2 linked regions of the Rhinolophus ferrumequinum genome follow. The protein of the gene in region 1 interacts with the protein of each later gene in a biochemical or structural test. Links are inferred from orthologs where the notes say so. Each region holds a gene or a part of one and is shown on either strand. Other genes may lie near its edges.

Region 1 (7,823 bases):
TTCGTAAAAACTTGTCTAAATCTGCAGTACAAGGCAGATTATGAAACCGCCTGGGGAGATGTTTTTTCTAAAAAGCATTCAAGCCATATTTGCTGGACTTGCCAATCCGAGCTCCCTGAGATCTGTATGGCTTCTTGTGAGCCTGGACTGGCCTTCTCCCGGGCCCAGGTGATGCAAGAGGCAGGCACTGCCAGGCCTGAGGCCCCATCAAGCTCCAGTGGCCTTGGGCCTGCAGTGCCCTCGGGCTGGAGGCTCTGTGGGGCACAGTGGACTCAGTGTGGGCAAAGCCCTGAGGAGCCAGGTGGGGCTCCCCAGTGTGTAATGACATGATGAGATAAGGACTGCTGCGGCAAAGAAGAGTCTCAGCTTCCAGGGCTCGCTCTCCTTCCACTGAGAAGGCTGTGGGTCATGTAGGAGGGTGAGGGAAAAGTGTTAGCTCAGGCCGGCCAGTCTCAGTTGGGCTGCCTTGTCCAGACAGGTGTGCACTACTACCTGTGCAGTTGCAGAGCCAGCACAAGGGAAGCAGTCATTTGGATCCAGGGACCACCTGCTTTCTGTGCTAACTCAGCGACGTCCACTGACCTCTGTGGCCTCTTTGCCTCAACTCCTACAGCCGATGGGAATCAGGAGGGACAACTCATTGGCTGTCTGGGGATTCACGTGTCATCGGGCACCTGGGGGAAGGGGACTCTGCTTTCCCATTGAGGCCCAGGGACATTCCAGGTCACACAGACAAGAGACAAAGCCAGGACACAGCTCAGAGCCCACCTGCAGCCTTCACAACATGCCACTGCCCTGGCCTCCCAGCCAGACAGCTCCCTGGACTTTAGAGGACGCTGAAAGAAGAGGGAGGAAAACGCCTCCTGAGCCAGGAACTGTGCAGATCCTGCTAATGCACCATTTGGGTGTGGCCTCACAACACTGCGAGGCACTAACCGTATGACATTCCCAGGTACAGATGAGGAAGCCGAGTCCCAGGGACACAGTTAGCCTGGTTCTGGGGCTAGGTGAAAGGAATAGAGCTGAGATTCCTCCTCGAGAAGAGGGAAGCGGAGGAGGCATGAAAGGAGAAGGCAGAAAAGCAGAGAAGGGGAGGGAAAAGGGAGAGGAAAGAAATTCAGAGGAGACAAGTCTGTTGTGGGGTCCATGGAAGGGTGAGTTGGGGCAAAGAGTTGAGGTCAGGCCTTCCAGGTGGAGGTGGGCCCTGTCTGAGCCTCAGGGTCTCTGACAGTATGCAGGACACAGTTGCTCCTGCTCTGGAGCCCTGGGCGGTCTGGACAAGGCAGCCCAACTGAGACTGGCCTGCCTGAGCTAACACCCAGCTACTGGTCAGGCCTGAGGAGGGTCCTCTCATTGGCCAGGCTGAGGTCCTGTCTTCAAATACCAGCTGTGTGTGAGAGGAAGGCAGGCAGGGCCTCCACACAGTCAGGGGAAGGATGTTCCTGAGTCACACCTTGGAGCCCCAGCCTGGTGTGTTGTGTGTTATGGGGACAGCATATTTGAAATGGAGGTAAGTGGATGGGGAGCCCCACGGTGGGCCCTCACAGCCGGCTAGTGAGCACTGGCTCTCCTTGCAGCTGCACCTGGAGGACAGCAAACAGACATGCCTGTACCTTAACACCCAGTGGAGTGACAGTGCAGCGGTTTATTACCTCTGCTTACAGAGGGGAAACTAAGTAAGCAAGCAACTAGCTACAGTACACAGTCAGCTTCAAAGCCCCTATGCTTCCAGCCTCTGTGTCACACTGCCTGAGACCCCCTCCCGGACCCCCTCTGACCACATCTGGCCCCAGGCAGGGGCCTAACAGGCCTCAGTCAGCAGTTCCTGGAATAATGTCTAGCCTTTTAGTGCCTGCAGGATTGGGCTGTGCTGCTGGCTTTGTTTCCTCGTCCCTGTAAGGTCCCTGGGGCCAGGATTTCCTATCCTTACACTCAGTCTCCACTCCTAAAAGCAGACTTTCTCCCTGAGTTGCCACAGCCACCTGGGTCCATGATCACAGAGCACCCTGGTCCATGATCACAGAGCACCCTGGTCCATGATCACCAGCAGCTCCTCCCCACCTGGACAAGCCGGCACCAGATGGGATCCCTGTCTGTGCTGTCCCTTCCCTGAGCTGTCTTTTGGGGCCAGACCCAAGGGGCTCCAGGTAGGCCTCACCTGCTCAGAGGCAAGGAATGCTGCAGGAATAACCTGTGAGTTGCCCGCCCATGGAGCACCTTATCCTGTGCTGAGAGCAAGGCCTCACTAACACTATTTCAGTCATTCCTCCCAGCCATCCAGATGGGGGAGCACTATTTTAGCCCCCATTTTAGAAATGGCAAAACCAGAGAGGTACAGTGATTTGTGCAATGTCACACGACTGTAAGTGGCAAAATTCAAACTGCTCTGACTCACTCCAAAGCAGAATCCCGTATCAGAACCTCTCGCGGGACTCTTTTTTAAGATGTCGATTTTTATGGAGGTGGAGCCCCGGAATCTATGATAAAAGGGGGGCTGTGGGCAGGGGTGGGGAGCACTGACAACACTGGGATGTACCCCCCTTACCCAGCTCCTAGAGAGCTTCTCAGTGCCTATGGAAGCCCATGTCCCTCAACAGGGCAAGGATGAGAGAGCCAAGTCCCAAGCATAGGTATGGCTATGATTGATGGAGCACTCACTTGTGCCTGGCACTGAGCTCCACCCTCACACATACTCCCTTTTCTATCCTCATCCGTTCTGAGGGGGATGTTTATAGTTGGAAGCTGAGGCACAGAGAGAGATGACTAGGGGAAGCCAGGACAGAGAACAGGAACCTCCTGCAAACTCTCCCATGCAACTGTCCCAGGCGCCCCTAGGACAAAGTGGAGCAAAGGGAGGGGCTTCCTGGGGAATCAGACCAGCACCTTTGGATTCGGCTGAAGCTCAGGCTCTGACCTTGCCCTGTGGGACCTCAGGGAGGCTGCATTCATTTCCTCTTTGCTGGGAGAAGAAGCGCCTTCCTACCATTCTGATGTTCTGGATCTTAAGCCAATGCACAATCCTAGGCAGGGCTGAGTCAGCCCCCGCCCGTAGTCCGAAGCCAGCAAGCCCAGGACTTCACTCCTTTCCCCTACTGGGTGCCCTCCAGACAAGTCCCTGCGCGTGCACGTGGGGGAGGGTACACACCCAAGTCCATACATGTTAGTACATACATATGCACATATGCACACACATGTACATGTATGTGCAATGGTACAAATGTGAGGCTCCCCTGACACTGATCTAAAAGGAGGGCAATGCCCACTCCATAGTGTCAGGCATCTATTCAAGACCCCCAAGGGTGGAGATGGAAAGAGAGTGGGAGGGGGAGGGGGACCCAGGCAGGAGCACAGCCTCCGATGGGACACACAGAGCCAGCCAGAATCCAGCCTGTTCAGTGTCAGCCAAGGCCTGGCCAGGGTACTCCCTGGGAGGTACTAGGGTGGGGATGGTTGGAAGAATGGGTCAAGTCACCCCTCTTCCTTCTGCATTTTCCTGCCACAGGAGCCTGTTTGTAACAGTAAAGTCCCCCTCAGCCCCTCCCTTTCTACTCAGGTCCCTTCCCTGGGCACAGCCCCGAGTGTCCAGCCTTGGTAGCCATTAGCACCAGAAATAAGGGTCTATCTACAAACAAGGGAGCCCCGTGGCCACCAGCCCTATAAATCCGAGGGTGTGGGGCTCTGGGCATGTGAGACAGGCAGCACAAGGTCTGATGGCTGAAGGGGGGCTCTCCAGAGCCGGGCATGCTGTGCCCTGGCCTCTTGCCACAGGCCGGCTCTGGCCATCTCAGCTGGCAGAACCCCCAGCCATCCTGTCTTGGCAGCTCCTCCTCCTGCCTGCAAGGCTGACTTCACTTTGACTTCATATCTGCAGAGTGATGTGCAGACCTCGTATTCAGCCCTGAGCTTGGCCAGGCAAGAGGGTGGAGCCCCAGCCTCGTGTGCACAGCAGGAAGAAGAGACCCTGAAGGGCGCCCCCAAGGCCAAGGTGCGCTGGACCTTCCCACCCCAAGGCTTCCATTCCTCTGGCCCTGGTGGAGGCAGGACCTCAAAAGGTAGCTAGGGGGTAGGAGGAGAACGGTGGGTTTTTCCCACAGAGGTCTAGAACCCGTCTTCACCTCATCCCAGGAACCCCATGTTAAAGGTCCTGAGTTCCCCCTTTCTGGGATTGTATGTGTTTGTGGGTATCCTTTCTTTGGGCGAACATTACATTATTTGAGGCTCCTGTCCCTCCCTGCTACGCGCTCTCCAACTCAGTTCCACATCCAAAGAGCTCTTCTTTTAGGGGTGGCTACTCTCCAAGCACCCCACTAGGCCACCAGGACCAGGTCTGAGAAATGGCGGAGGATGCGCTCCGCGCCAAGAGCCTGGTCCCCAGGTCCGCTCGGGTGCATCCCAGCCAGGCTGCCCAGACCCCGCATCCCCGCGTGGTTTAATTGTCTCGTGTGGGAGGCGGGGAAGGGTGAAGGGTTGGTACAGCGAGGGCGCACAGGCTGAGAAAGAGTGGCTGTGCGTGCGGACTGGGCTGAGGTTGGCAGGCCAGCACCCGGCGCCCCACACCTCGCTCCTACTCCTGTTCCGCTTAGACCACACCCGCACCCCACGTCCAGCACTGGTCCGCTACTGGAGCCTTGCTGGTTCCGCACTGGGCGCTGCCGGGCGGGTATCCCGAGCCCCGCCCCTACCGCACCCGCTCGGTCCCTGGCCCCGCCCGGCCCGCCCCCCTGGCAGCGCCGCCCCGCCCCTGCCCGCTCCTCCCGCGCAGCCCGCGCCTGCCTTGCCTCAGTCCGGCGATCAGAGCCCGGCCCAAGCAGCGGAGAGCGCCCCGGTGTCGCGCTCCGACGCTCCGCGCCCGCAGTGTCCTCCGCGTCCGCCGCGTCCGCCGCGTCCCGGGCGGGATGGAGCGGCCCGGCTGAGCACTACACCCCGCCGCCTACACCCCCTGTCCGAGCCACCATCCTCTTGCCGCGGTCCCGGCGCACACGGGCGATGGCGAAGACGACGGCGGGGCTGCGGTGGCTGCTTCTGCTGCCGCTGCTCGGCGAAGGTAAGTCCTGCTGGCGGCCGGGGCCAAGTTGGAGTGGTGGAGTGGACGCAATCGAAAACGCCGTCCTGTTTGCGGCGGGCCGCAGGCAGCGCGTTTGCGGGCCGCAGGGGCGGGGCGGGGAGCGAGGTGGTGCGGCGAGCAGGGAGCCTCAGGCCCCAAGCTGGGCGGGTCGCGGGCTGGGCCCGGCGGCCGAGGTCGCTGTTCACGGTGCGAGCTGCAGCCGCGCGTCGCAGTCTGGTCGCGCTTGGACCGAAGCGGACAGATACTGTCGCCCTTTCGTCGCAGATAGCGCGGGACGGGTGAGATAGCCCTAGAAAGCCAGCGACCTGTGCACGGAGTTCTGTTTCTGCAAAAGATCGCTGCGTCCTGGTTTCCTTTCCGCGCTCCACGTCGGTTCATTCCTCCTCCTGCCGTGATCCCCTGGCCCGCAGTGGGGTGAGGAGGGGATCTCCTCTTTTATAAAACGTTGCTTTTCCCTCGTGAGTTTTTTGCCGCCCAAATCTTTTTAAAAAACCTAAAAGCCTGTGGTTTCTGGGAAGCCTGCCCTCGATGGCCCACTCAGACTGGCCCAGCGCAGCCCACGGAGGGCCCACCGCGGTCGAGCCTCACCAGGCAGGCTTTTTAAGAGTCGCACGCCGTTGCCAGGCAGGGGCATCTGAAAGTGCGGCCTTTGGGACCGTATGATGGCTCTGGGTCAACATTTAATAAGCACTTTTGACCATCTTGGAGTAGGGTGTAGGGCCGTGTGCCACCAGTGTTGGTGCTGGGAGCATTAGATATGCTCTTGCAAAGGCTGGTCACCACCCCACCCCCAAACCCTGACAGGATGAACCCCAAGGCGGTAGATAGAATCTTTACTCCCCTCGGCCATGCATTTTACTTCCGTTCAAACCGTCCCTGACTGATCCCCTCCTGCTGTGCTTCTGAATGAAGTTTCCCTCAAAGAGGGAAACAGCCCTGGCTACCTCCCCAACACTACTTACAAAGGGTTTTCTCTCCCTATGGCCTTTGGGGACAGAAGAGGCCGTGGCACCCTGTGTCTAGGCCCAGGTCCTGCACAGATTCCGGGTTCACAGGCCTGCGCAAGGCTTCGTTTGTGTGACTGGATCCCAGTGTCAAGGAGCAGATACTGAAGCCAGAATCCTCAATGCGTCATAGAGAGGGCAGGGGAGAAGCCCTTTCTTTGCCGTGGGGATGAATGTGGGAAGGGAATCTGTTTCCAGTATTGGGACCCTGGGCTCAGTGCTGCTAGAGGAAGAGAGCAGGAGGCTGTGAATAGAGCCTGGGGGCAGCAGGGCAGAAGTAAACAGGAACAGGGTGTTATAGAGATCTCCTGTAACTCTTGGGTTGCAACTTTGTAATTGTGGACTTGTGGTCAGGTGTGAGCCAGAAGCAGTGTGCTGAGTGCAGCCTCAGCAGCCTTCAGAGGCTTTCCCCATACCATTCCACAGCCTTGTGCTTTAGCTGCTGTGCTCAGTGGAACTGTGGGGGGGCTGAACTGTGGGGGCTGGGCTGCAAGGGTGGGCCTGTGGCACTTGGCAGGAATAGGTGGCTTTTCTATCGCTGTGGTCCACAGAGTTGGGTGACCAAAGACAGGCTCTCCAATCCAGGGACAGTGAACCCCCAACTCTGCCCATCCTTCCCTTGGGATGACCAAGAAACCACGATTGGTGGCACTGAGAGTGGAGCGGTGGCCCCACACCACACAGGAAGAGACCGCCGAGGCCTTGGAGAGGCCTGTGGGTGCCCTCTACTAGGAGCAGCAGCCCTGGAACTGCCGGAGCCTGGGTCTCAGTGAGCCGCTCCCCGCTGCCACTAGCGTGCCTGCAGCTGCGCTTGGACCCGCCCAGGCGGGGAGCAGCGGGGCCTCTGGGCGCCCTCTTGTGGATGCAGCGCTCCAGTGCCTGACCTGTTGGGAGGAGGGGCTGGGTCTCTAGAGGATGCAGGTCATCCCCTGCTGGGCAAGATACCTCCCCAAGACCGGAAGCTCCCTTCGGTGCTGGGGGACTGACAGGAGGTGGGTATGGGAGGTGACTCGGAAGGGGTCAGTGGCCATGAGCAGAGAGCAGGGAAGGAGCAGCGAGCGCCGCCTCTGGGCTGGCAGGGGTGGGCTGGAGGACCCAGGGAGACCCAGAGCAAGGCCATGGAACATAGACACCCCCCCCAGCCTGCCTCCCCCTACTCTTATTGTGTGTAGCCGCACACACCTTCAAAAAAGGTGCCCACGCAGACACAGACTACCCGACAGGGCAGGACTTGCCTTCTCACCTACACCCTGGTATTTGTGTTCACACCCACACACACACACCCCCACATCCATTTTTGCACACACATGCTCACACTCATAGTCATCACCAGGACACACTCCTGCCCTTTCTCAAGGAGACATGTTCATGATACCTGTGGACACACACACTCCCCTCCTTGCCACTCACGCACACTGGGATCCCGCATATGCACACAGGGGCACTGGGCCCGCCCACCCCACCCCCAGCCATCAGCCCTGGCTATCTTTAAACCAGAGCTAGGGAACCTCCACCTAAGAGTTGTTCTTAGAAGAGTTTTTGGCCCTTTGCTGCTCAGCTCAGGTGCAGCCATCCCTGAGGCATAGATGAGGAGTGAGAATCCCGGCTCCTGGGACTCCACCTGCACATGTCCCCGGCTGACCCCTGTCCAGCACCATCTCCTTGGCCGCCTGCAACTCCTCAGCAGCATCACGTTTCTCATCTTCCTGGCCTGGCTTCTTAGGTCCCATTTTGCTCAGCCTTCTTGCTGTGAG
Region 2 (7,783 bases), on another chromosome or scaffold:
AGGTCCCGAAAGCACCTGTTTGCCAAGCCTTGCCTACCAAGTAGCTCGGCTGTCTTAATTTCTTCTGTAACCTCCCATACTTCTACAGTTAAGAAAAAAATAAAATAAGACAGTTTAAAAAAAAATCTCTACCAGCAGAAAAAGTGTTATTTAAATTTTAAACATAAGACTGATTGCTTAATTGAAAGGCAAAACAAGTATTTTCTCCTCACGAGCCCTAAACAAACCCCACTTTGGTTTAAGAAGACTGAGACAGACATGACATGGGGTTTATGCCACAAACTGCAAATGGAAAGGCGTCTTTACCACAAAACAGAACAGAAGTCCCCTGCAGCCAGCTCTCTGAGTTCTGATAGGCAGACGTGCTCGCCCTTCCACACACTTAATTACACCGTACACAGGTGTTGAGTACACAGGTGTTTCTTCCTTGCAGGTAAGAGGTGGACAGGACTCGGAGGAAACAGGTTCTGTACATTATGCCACCTTTGAAGCACTGGGTCTACCAACCCAGAATTTCTACAGTCCTAGATGTGTAGATGTTTCTGTTCAAGCAGGAGTTTGGTTGCTATACACAGTAAAGTCTTGACCAGCTGTGTCATCAAAATCAAAGGTTCTGGGCTAGCACTTAGTTCTGACTTTGTTATTCTCTCTCAGTGGAGGCTGACTGGCCAGAGAGACGGTCACTGCCACTGGGCCAGTACTGCCCTGTGTTCCGATGGCACACCACCATACACAGCCCCCAACAAGTAGCTGGCATGAGCCTGCCAGTTCCAGGGTCTTGGTCCACAAATAAAAGGCATTTTTCCCTGCCATCGCTGCCCCCAAAATGGTACAGAACTTGGGCAGTATGCAATCGATGACTTTAGGGGTACACAGCTTTTATTAAAACACCATTTTTTTATTACAACAAACGTTTAACTACCATATCAAACTTACAACTCAGTGGATACCAAAATTTTCTCCCAAAAAAATATGTATTTTCATATAATCAATGAGCAGACAAAAGAAAATGTTGATAATGGCCTCAGCGACAATGAGAGAGCTCTGAAAAGCTGGGAGTCCAGGGAGTGGTAATGGGCCCTGCTAGTTCTCGGGTGTGTGACTGGCAGGGGACGTCCTCTGGGCTATTTCTCTTTCAGAGGCAGATGTACGCGTGCAGAAGCATAAAACACACAGGACTGAAAAAAAGAAATCCAAAACTTGGGCTCTGGTGATAGCTCTATCATGTGCTGGCCATGTGACCCTGGGCATGCCAATTTAACCTCTTGAGCCTCAGTTTCCCCACCTGTAAAATGGGGATCCAAGGGCTGTAGAGGGCTAAAAGCAACAAGGCTTCCAACGTGTCTCGTAAACTATGAAATGCTACAAAGTATCAGTCGCTACACTTCTCAGTTACACAAGCGCTGGCTGGCGCTGGCTGGGTGTGTAACCCGGTCTGTCCTCAGATTCCCTCCCTGTAATCTGGAGATTGGCCTGTGTGGCCCTTCTCTTTCAAGTATTCCCAATAAAACTCAAATGTTACGTGCAGTAATCCTAGAGTTCTGATGTTAACCGAAAAAGCCAGCCTCCACATCATTCCTGGAAACAAATTTGCTTCCAGGGCTTTTATTGAACAAAATCTTCCGCTAAAAGACACTTCACTATCCCCACAAGTTGGAATTAATTTCTTCTGCTATACATATCTAGATTCCACCTACTTTTCCTTCTAGAAAGAAAGGGGGGGGGGCTCCAAGTCAACTGCTGTGAGAAACCACCAGCCTCATGCTGTAAACCCCAGCCAGCGCCTGTTGCTCGCTAACATGTGTTCTGAGTAAAACCGAGCGAAATGTTAAGTAGAGCACCATTTCTGAAGCTGGGGGCTCCAAACGGCTGATTCAGCATTTTCAGAAACAAAGTGTTCTGGGCCTGGCCCTGTAAACAGCAGCACCCAGAAAGTTGTGCAATTACGCATATTCACTCAGGAGCGCTACTTGTTTTGGTCTTTTCTTTGCATCTCTTGAATGAAACTGGGTACATTTGCGAGAAGTCCTTCTTTCTAGTGCATCGCGGATCCAGCAGTGTCTCAGTCACCTGTGGCTTCCCTACAGGGCCCAAGGTTTTCGTCAAAGCAAACGACAAAAAGTTGGCATTTCTTCCAACCCCAGGAGAAGAGGGACACAATAAAAAGTAGAGAATACCCTAATTTCCATAGCGCACATGCTGCAGGGCCTCGCCAGGCAGGCTTTTGGAGAGGCAATCAGCGAAGGCAGACAGTTGCATCAGAAATTTCCTTCTGCAAACGGTACGGCTCTTATCACATTTCCACGGCTGGCCGGCGGCTAATCCGCGAGCCCTCAAGTTGGGGTTAGGCCCCAGCGGCGGGTAACGGGGTCACTAACGGAACCGAATAAAAACCCTCCCGAGACTGGGCCGCGCCGGGCTGGGGAGTGCCCGGCTCGGCGTGGGCTCAGGGGGGCTGCAGGGGACCCTCCGGGCGGCCCGGGAGCGCAGCCTCGGCCCTGACCGTGGACGGGCGCAGCCCCCACCTAGCCTGGCCCCGGCCCGTGAGCTGCCGGCGTCGGACGGGATGGTCCAAGGAGGCGCTGCCCGGCTCCGCAGCTCCCGGGGAACCCGCGCAGAGCCCGGCCGGCTCCGCCGCGCCCGCAGCCCCCAGCCCGGAGGCGACGCCCTTCCGCCCGCCGCGCCCCCGCGGCGCCCGGCGTCCCCGGCCCGGCGGCCAGCGCGCAGACAATGACCGCACGGGGACCGCCCGCCCGCCGGGCCCCGCCGCGCGGACCACAAAGTAACTTGCGGCCGCGATCCCCACCCAACTCCGTACCTGCGCGGCACCGCTCCGGGGGACCTCGGCGCAGCTGGGGCAGGAGCGGGCCCAGGGGGCGGGCGGGGCGCGCGGGGCGTCCCGGCCCAGCCTAGGGGCTGCGCGCAAACTTTGGCTCCGCGCGGGTCTCCGCGGCCTCCGAGCGCTGAGCCCGCTGCCGGCGCGCCGCTCGGCCCTTCCAGCCTCCTCCTGGCCTCCCCACCCCCTCGAGGGGCTTTAAACGCGCGGGCCCCGCCCGCCTCCGCCGCCTCCGCCTCCTCCCCCGGCCGCTTTTCCTGCTCCTCCTCCCGCCGCCGCAGCCGGGACCGCTCGGCGGCCGCCAGCGCGGGCGGAGCCGCGGCCTAGGCGCAGGGCGTGGTGCGGGCGCGCGGGCTAGGGGGCCGGACCCTCGGGGCCCGCAGCCGGGCGTGGGCGCCCGGGTCCCTGGTCCTGCCTCCCGGGAGCCCCAGACGTGGGACCCCGACAGCCCAGGCTCGAGCGCCGGCGGAAGACACATCGGACCTATCCCGAAAGGCAATTTGCAAGCGAATTCTTTGAAACTCAAAGTCTTAACTGTATGGTCCAAATCCTGCATCACCAACACAGTGCAAGGAGGACCGAGGAGGCGCCAATGCTGGGGACTCTGTCTGGACCGGCGGTCCAGCCCGGGGGGCGGGGGGGGGGTGGGGTGGGGGGGGAAGGGATCTTGGGTTTGCGGTGCCCGCTCACAGCCACCCAGGTCTGGGGCCTCTTCTATCTGATCTCAGTTTCCCCATCTGCGTGTGAGCACTGGAGTGAATGCGGGTGGCGGAAGGAGGCCCTACATAGGTTCTCAGCGCCCCCAAGCCTCAGTGTCCTTATCTTTGAAATGGGCTAATAAACCCCCCTGAGGGTGATATCCTAGGGGTTGAATGAAGTCATACCTGTGACAGTGACTGGCACGGAGGACACTGCGAATGAATGAAAACCATTATCATTAATATAATTATTAATGTGTCTACGGAGTCAAAATTACAATACAAATAGGATAGCAATAATTATGTCTTTTTCTGGATCTTCATGTTACAAAAACAGCTACAACAGTAACTTTTTCTGACCATTCATTTATGCCAAATGGCCACCAATCTGTCACCCAGCCCCTACTCCGGCCCTCTGAGGTTGTCACTGGGAGATGTCCACGGTGCAGATTAGGAAATCCAACCTCGCAGAGGTGAAATACCCTGCCCAAGGTCAAGTAGCTGGTAAGTGCAGAATAAGGACGGTGCCAAAGCCCTTTTCAGGCACTTTTTATAGCTCCTGCTTTTCACACCTTTGGATGGATATATCATGAAAGGTCACCCTTTCCTGCCACTGAAATAGGCCTCCTGAAAATGTCTACCCATTGGTCCAAGCCCAGAAAACCGTAAGATGAAAACCTAGAAAGAATGACGTGAAGGATCTTGGATTCCTGGGAGAACAGAACACAAAGGACTCCTGTTGAAGACAAAGGACTCGGGAGAAAATCACAGAAGAGAAAACTCAATTTGGGCCAACTTCTTACAAGTATGTGAGTTTGAACCTTGTAGCTTTGCTGACGGCACCAATCAGCCTGCCCCGGCCACGGGCTTTTGCAGATGTCTGAAGAGCACCTGTGAACAGACATCGTTTTGTCCTGAGTCCCGTGTAGGCAGGTTTCATGCACTATAGCCCCTAACCCCTATATACTTTGATGTCTTCCCTAAGAGTAGGGAAGCACAGTTAGCAAATTCATACATTTATGTTGCTCAAGTACACGTGTCTGGTCTCGGTCCATAGCCCAGCGTTGCCCGTTGATCTGCTAATGTCCTTGATAACGTTCCTTTCCCCTCATTACAGGACCCAGTGTAGGGTCAGGTGAGAACTTACTGTCTCTAAACGTGTGGATTTTCAAACATTACTATTCATTGAGAGGGGACCAAAATAAATGTCCTCCAGTGTTTTCCTGCTTCCATGGATCCCTGAAATTCCTGGGACAGGCGCTCAGCCCCCACCTGTCCTGGCTCTCCGCAGATATATCCGCATGCATCTCCTTTCTGGGCAGGTCCACTCAGGACCACTTTACGATCCAAGTTCATGAACGTGTCACTGTTGTGGGTTTAGAAGCTGCAGCTGTCCCCTGGACCGGGGTCCTGGCCACACCTGTACTGTGGGCAAACTGCACCTGAATGCCTTTCCCTGCCGCAAATTCCAAATGCCCACCACCCACATGACAGCAGCCAGGGTGGACATCAGCCATGCAGGGCTCGAGTTACCCTGGACCACCCAGCCGGCCAGGAGCAAGGCAGTGTGGCTTTGTGTTCAAGAGCTTCCCCAAGGGGAAATGGCCTGGCTGCAGCTAGGTGTCAGGACGGGAAACGGCATTTTGTGACCGTGAGGAACTCACTTATCCAGACGTGCGCAAAGGCTTGTTCAGCTGCATGGAGAGAATCCGATAGATTCTATAATTGGTACCTGTCCCCTCTGTCGACTGTAACCATGTGACAAGGGTAACTGCGTGCTCTTCACTGCTGTCATCCTGGCACTGAGCGGGCACCCAGGAAAACCCCTCATCACTGGGAAGTGGTACCATGCAAAGGGATTTAGCAGCAGAGCAGCAGGCAAGATGCTGTGATGCCCGGCACCGTCTCACACATGCCAGCAGCCTTGGCAAAGGGAAGGGGCGCCAGGTGAGCTGCTCACTGACAGTGAAGCCCTCTGGCCAGAAGTGGCCCTCACTTCTGCTTGCGTGGGCAGAGGCCAGTCCATGGCCCAGCCATGCAAGGGGAGAGGCGTGGGAGGGGATGCATCTGGAGGGCAGAGCTGGACACCAGCCAGCCATCAGAGGCACTAAGGACTGCCAGCCCACCCCATCCCCTCACCGTGGGGTGGGCTTGAGCTGCAATCACAGTATAATTGTAATACGCCCCGCAGGACCCAAGGGAATCTGTTCACCCTGCAGACCCCTGGGCTCATCCCCACCCTGAGGAGTTTACCGCCCCCCAGGGTCACTCTGCATTTTTAACAGACTTCCCCATGATCCACAACTGCCAGTATTCCAAATACAGTGACTCCTTGAGTCGTCTGAGCAAGAGGAGTACAGGCGGCCCCAAGGTACAGAGACGGGGAGCCTGGATGGGGAGCCTGGCGGCTTTGCTTCCCAGCAGAGGCCACACCCTAGCAGAGTCCTGGAGCATCCAAGATGCTAAGTGCCGAAAAGGGAGCCAAAGGAAAGGTCTGCCAGGTCGAGGGAGATGCAGGTACCTCACCAAAGCCAAGAAAAGTTACCAAGTAGTCACATTCCGTCATAGAAAGCTGGGGGCGGGGCTGGAGGAGGTTGCGTGGCAGGCGGGAGACGTGACAAGAGGCCAGGCTGGAAAGGCCAGCAGGGACTTACTTGTCGCCCTCAGGCATTTCTCCATTATCCCAAAGGTGATGGGAGAGTGTGAGACCTGTCTGCTGCCGCGGGGCTGACCAACACGATGTACCCCCCTCAGTGGACTGTCCATAGTCCCCCAATCACCCCCACCTTTTGTGGTTCCCTACATAGCAGTTGATTTACTGGGGATGACACTGGGCCCAGGGATTCCCATTCCAAGGGTTTGCCTGTGGAGGAAAGGATGGGCCCACCAGAAGCCTGCTCCTGGGAGTCCGAACCGGAAGTACTGGAGGGGGTCTGGACCACAGGCACCAGGTGAGGACCACCTGAGCTGGGCCCATGTGTGAAGGGAAGCGCTGAAAGCAAGCCCTGAACGGATGCCCTCTGTCGGTCCCCTGTCTCCCTGGGTCTGGGCCACCGCAGGTCTCCTTTCAATGGAAATGCATTTTCCGTATGATGTCTTAATATAAACTCTCCTTTTCCTGAGATACCTTGAATCAAAATGGCTTTACAATTCAAACAGAGGCTCACTGAAGGATGTTTCCTCTTAAGTCTGATCTATTGAGGTTGGATTTGCCTACAGGAAAAATTAACCGCTGTGTAACTGTGATGTCAGGGAAGATAAAGAGCAGCTTCATCATCCCAGAAAGTTCGCTCTTGTGCCTTGCAATATGTCCCATCCCCACGCCCTGCACACACTGCTCTATGCGCTTTCTGTCCCCTTAGTTGTGCCTTTTCGAGATTGTCACATGAATGGAATCACGCAGTATGTAGCCTTTTGTGTCCGGCTTTTCTCCCTCGGCTCACTGTGTGTGAGATTCATCTGTGTCGCTCTGTGCATCACGAGCGTGCTCCTTTAAAGCTGGTTGCTGTGCCGTGAGTGGACGCACCTCCGTCTGTTCATTCATTCACTGGCTGACGGAAACCTGGGCAGGTCCCACTGTGGGGCGATTATGAATAAAACTGCTATACAGGGTTTACCGGGAAGATAAGTTTTCGTTTCTCTTGGGTAAATAACAAGAAACGAGATCGCTGGGCCATATGAAATGTGTCATAAGAAACGGCCACACTGCTTTCAAAGTGACTTTACCGTGGGCATCTGCCCCCAAAAGGTGTGAGTGCCCCAGCGGTTCTGCGTCTCAACCAGCACTTGGCGCTGTCGGCCTCTTTAATTTCAGCCATCCAACTGGTGTGCGATGGTGTCTCGTTCTGATTTTAACTGGCGCTTTCTTCACGACAACAAATGGTGAGTGCTTTTCCACGTGCTCACGTGCTATTCATCTGCATTCTCCTCTGAAGTAAACGTCTTTGGTCCAATTATTTTATTATTATTATTATTACTATTATTATTATTGCATCAATCGTTTCCTTATCACTGAGTTCTAAGAGTTCTTTTTGTATTCTTGATACCAGTACTTTAGCAGATATGTGTTTTGCAAATATATTCCACCAGACTTTTCTATTTTTTTTAACAGTATCTTTCAGAGAGCAGAAGTTTTTAATTTTGTAGGTTAACTATTATCAATTTATCCTTTTGCAGTTTGTTTCTTATATCCCGTCTGAGAAATTCTTGCCTAACCCTAGACCACACTTTTTTTCTTTGTTTTCTCCTG

The links.
Region 2: the proteins of RET (region 1) and GRB10 form a complex in vitro, tested with the Homo sapiens proteins (2 studies listed by BioGRID). The link is inferred for Rhinolophus ferrumequinum from reciprocal best matches to the Homo sapiens genes RET and GRB10.

What each region holds. Positions count from the first base shown.
Region 1 is NC_046299.1:67,028,074-67,035,896, reverse strand, and holds the start of RET (proto-oncogene tyrosine-protein kinase receptor Ret), read left to right. Parts: upstream 1-4,753; 5' UTR 4,754-4,986; coding exon 4,987-5,044; intron 5,045-7,823. UniProt on the Homo sapiens protein: Receptor tyrosine-protein kinase involved in numerous cellular mechanisms including cell proliferation, neuronal navigation, cell migration, and cell differentiation in response to glia cell line-derived growth family factors (GDNF, NRTN, ARTN, PSPN and GDF15).
Region 2 is NC_046303.1:2,528,187-2,535,969, forward strand, and holds the start of GRB10 (growth factor receptor-bound protein 10), read right to left. Parts: upstream 3,019-7,783; 5' UTR 2,819-3,018; intron 1-2,818.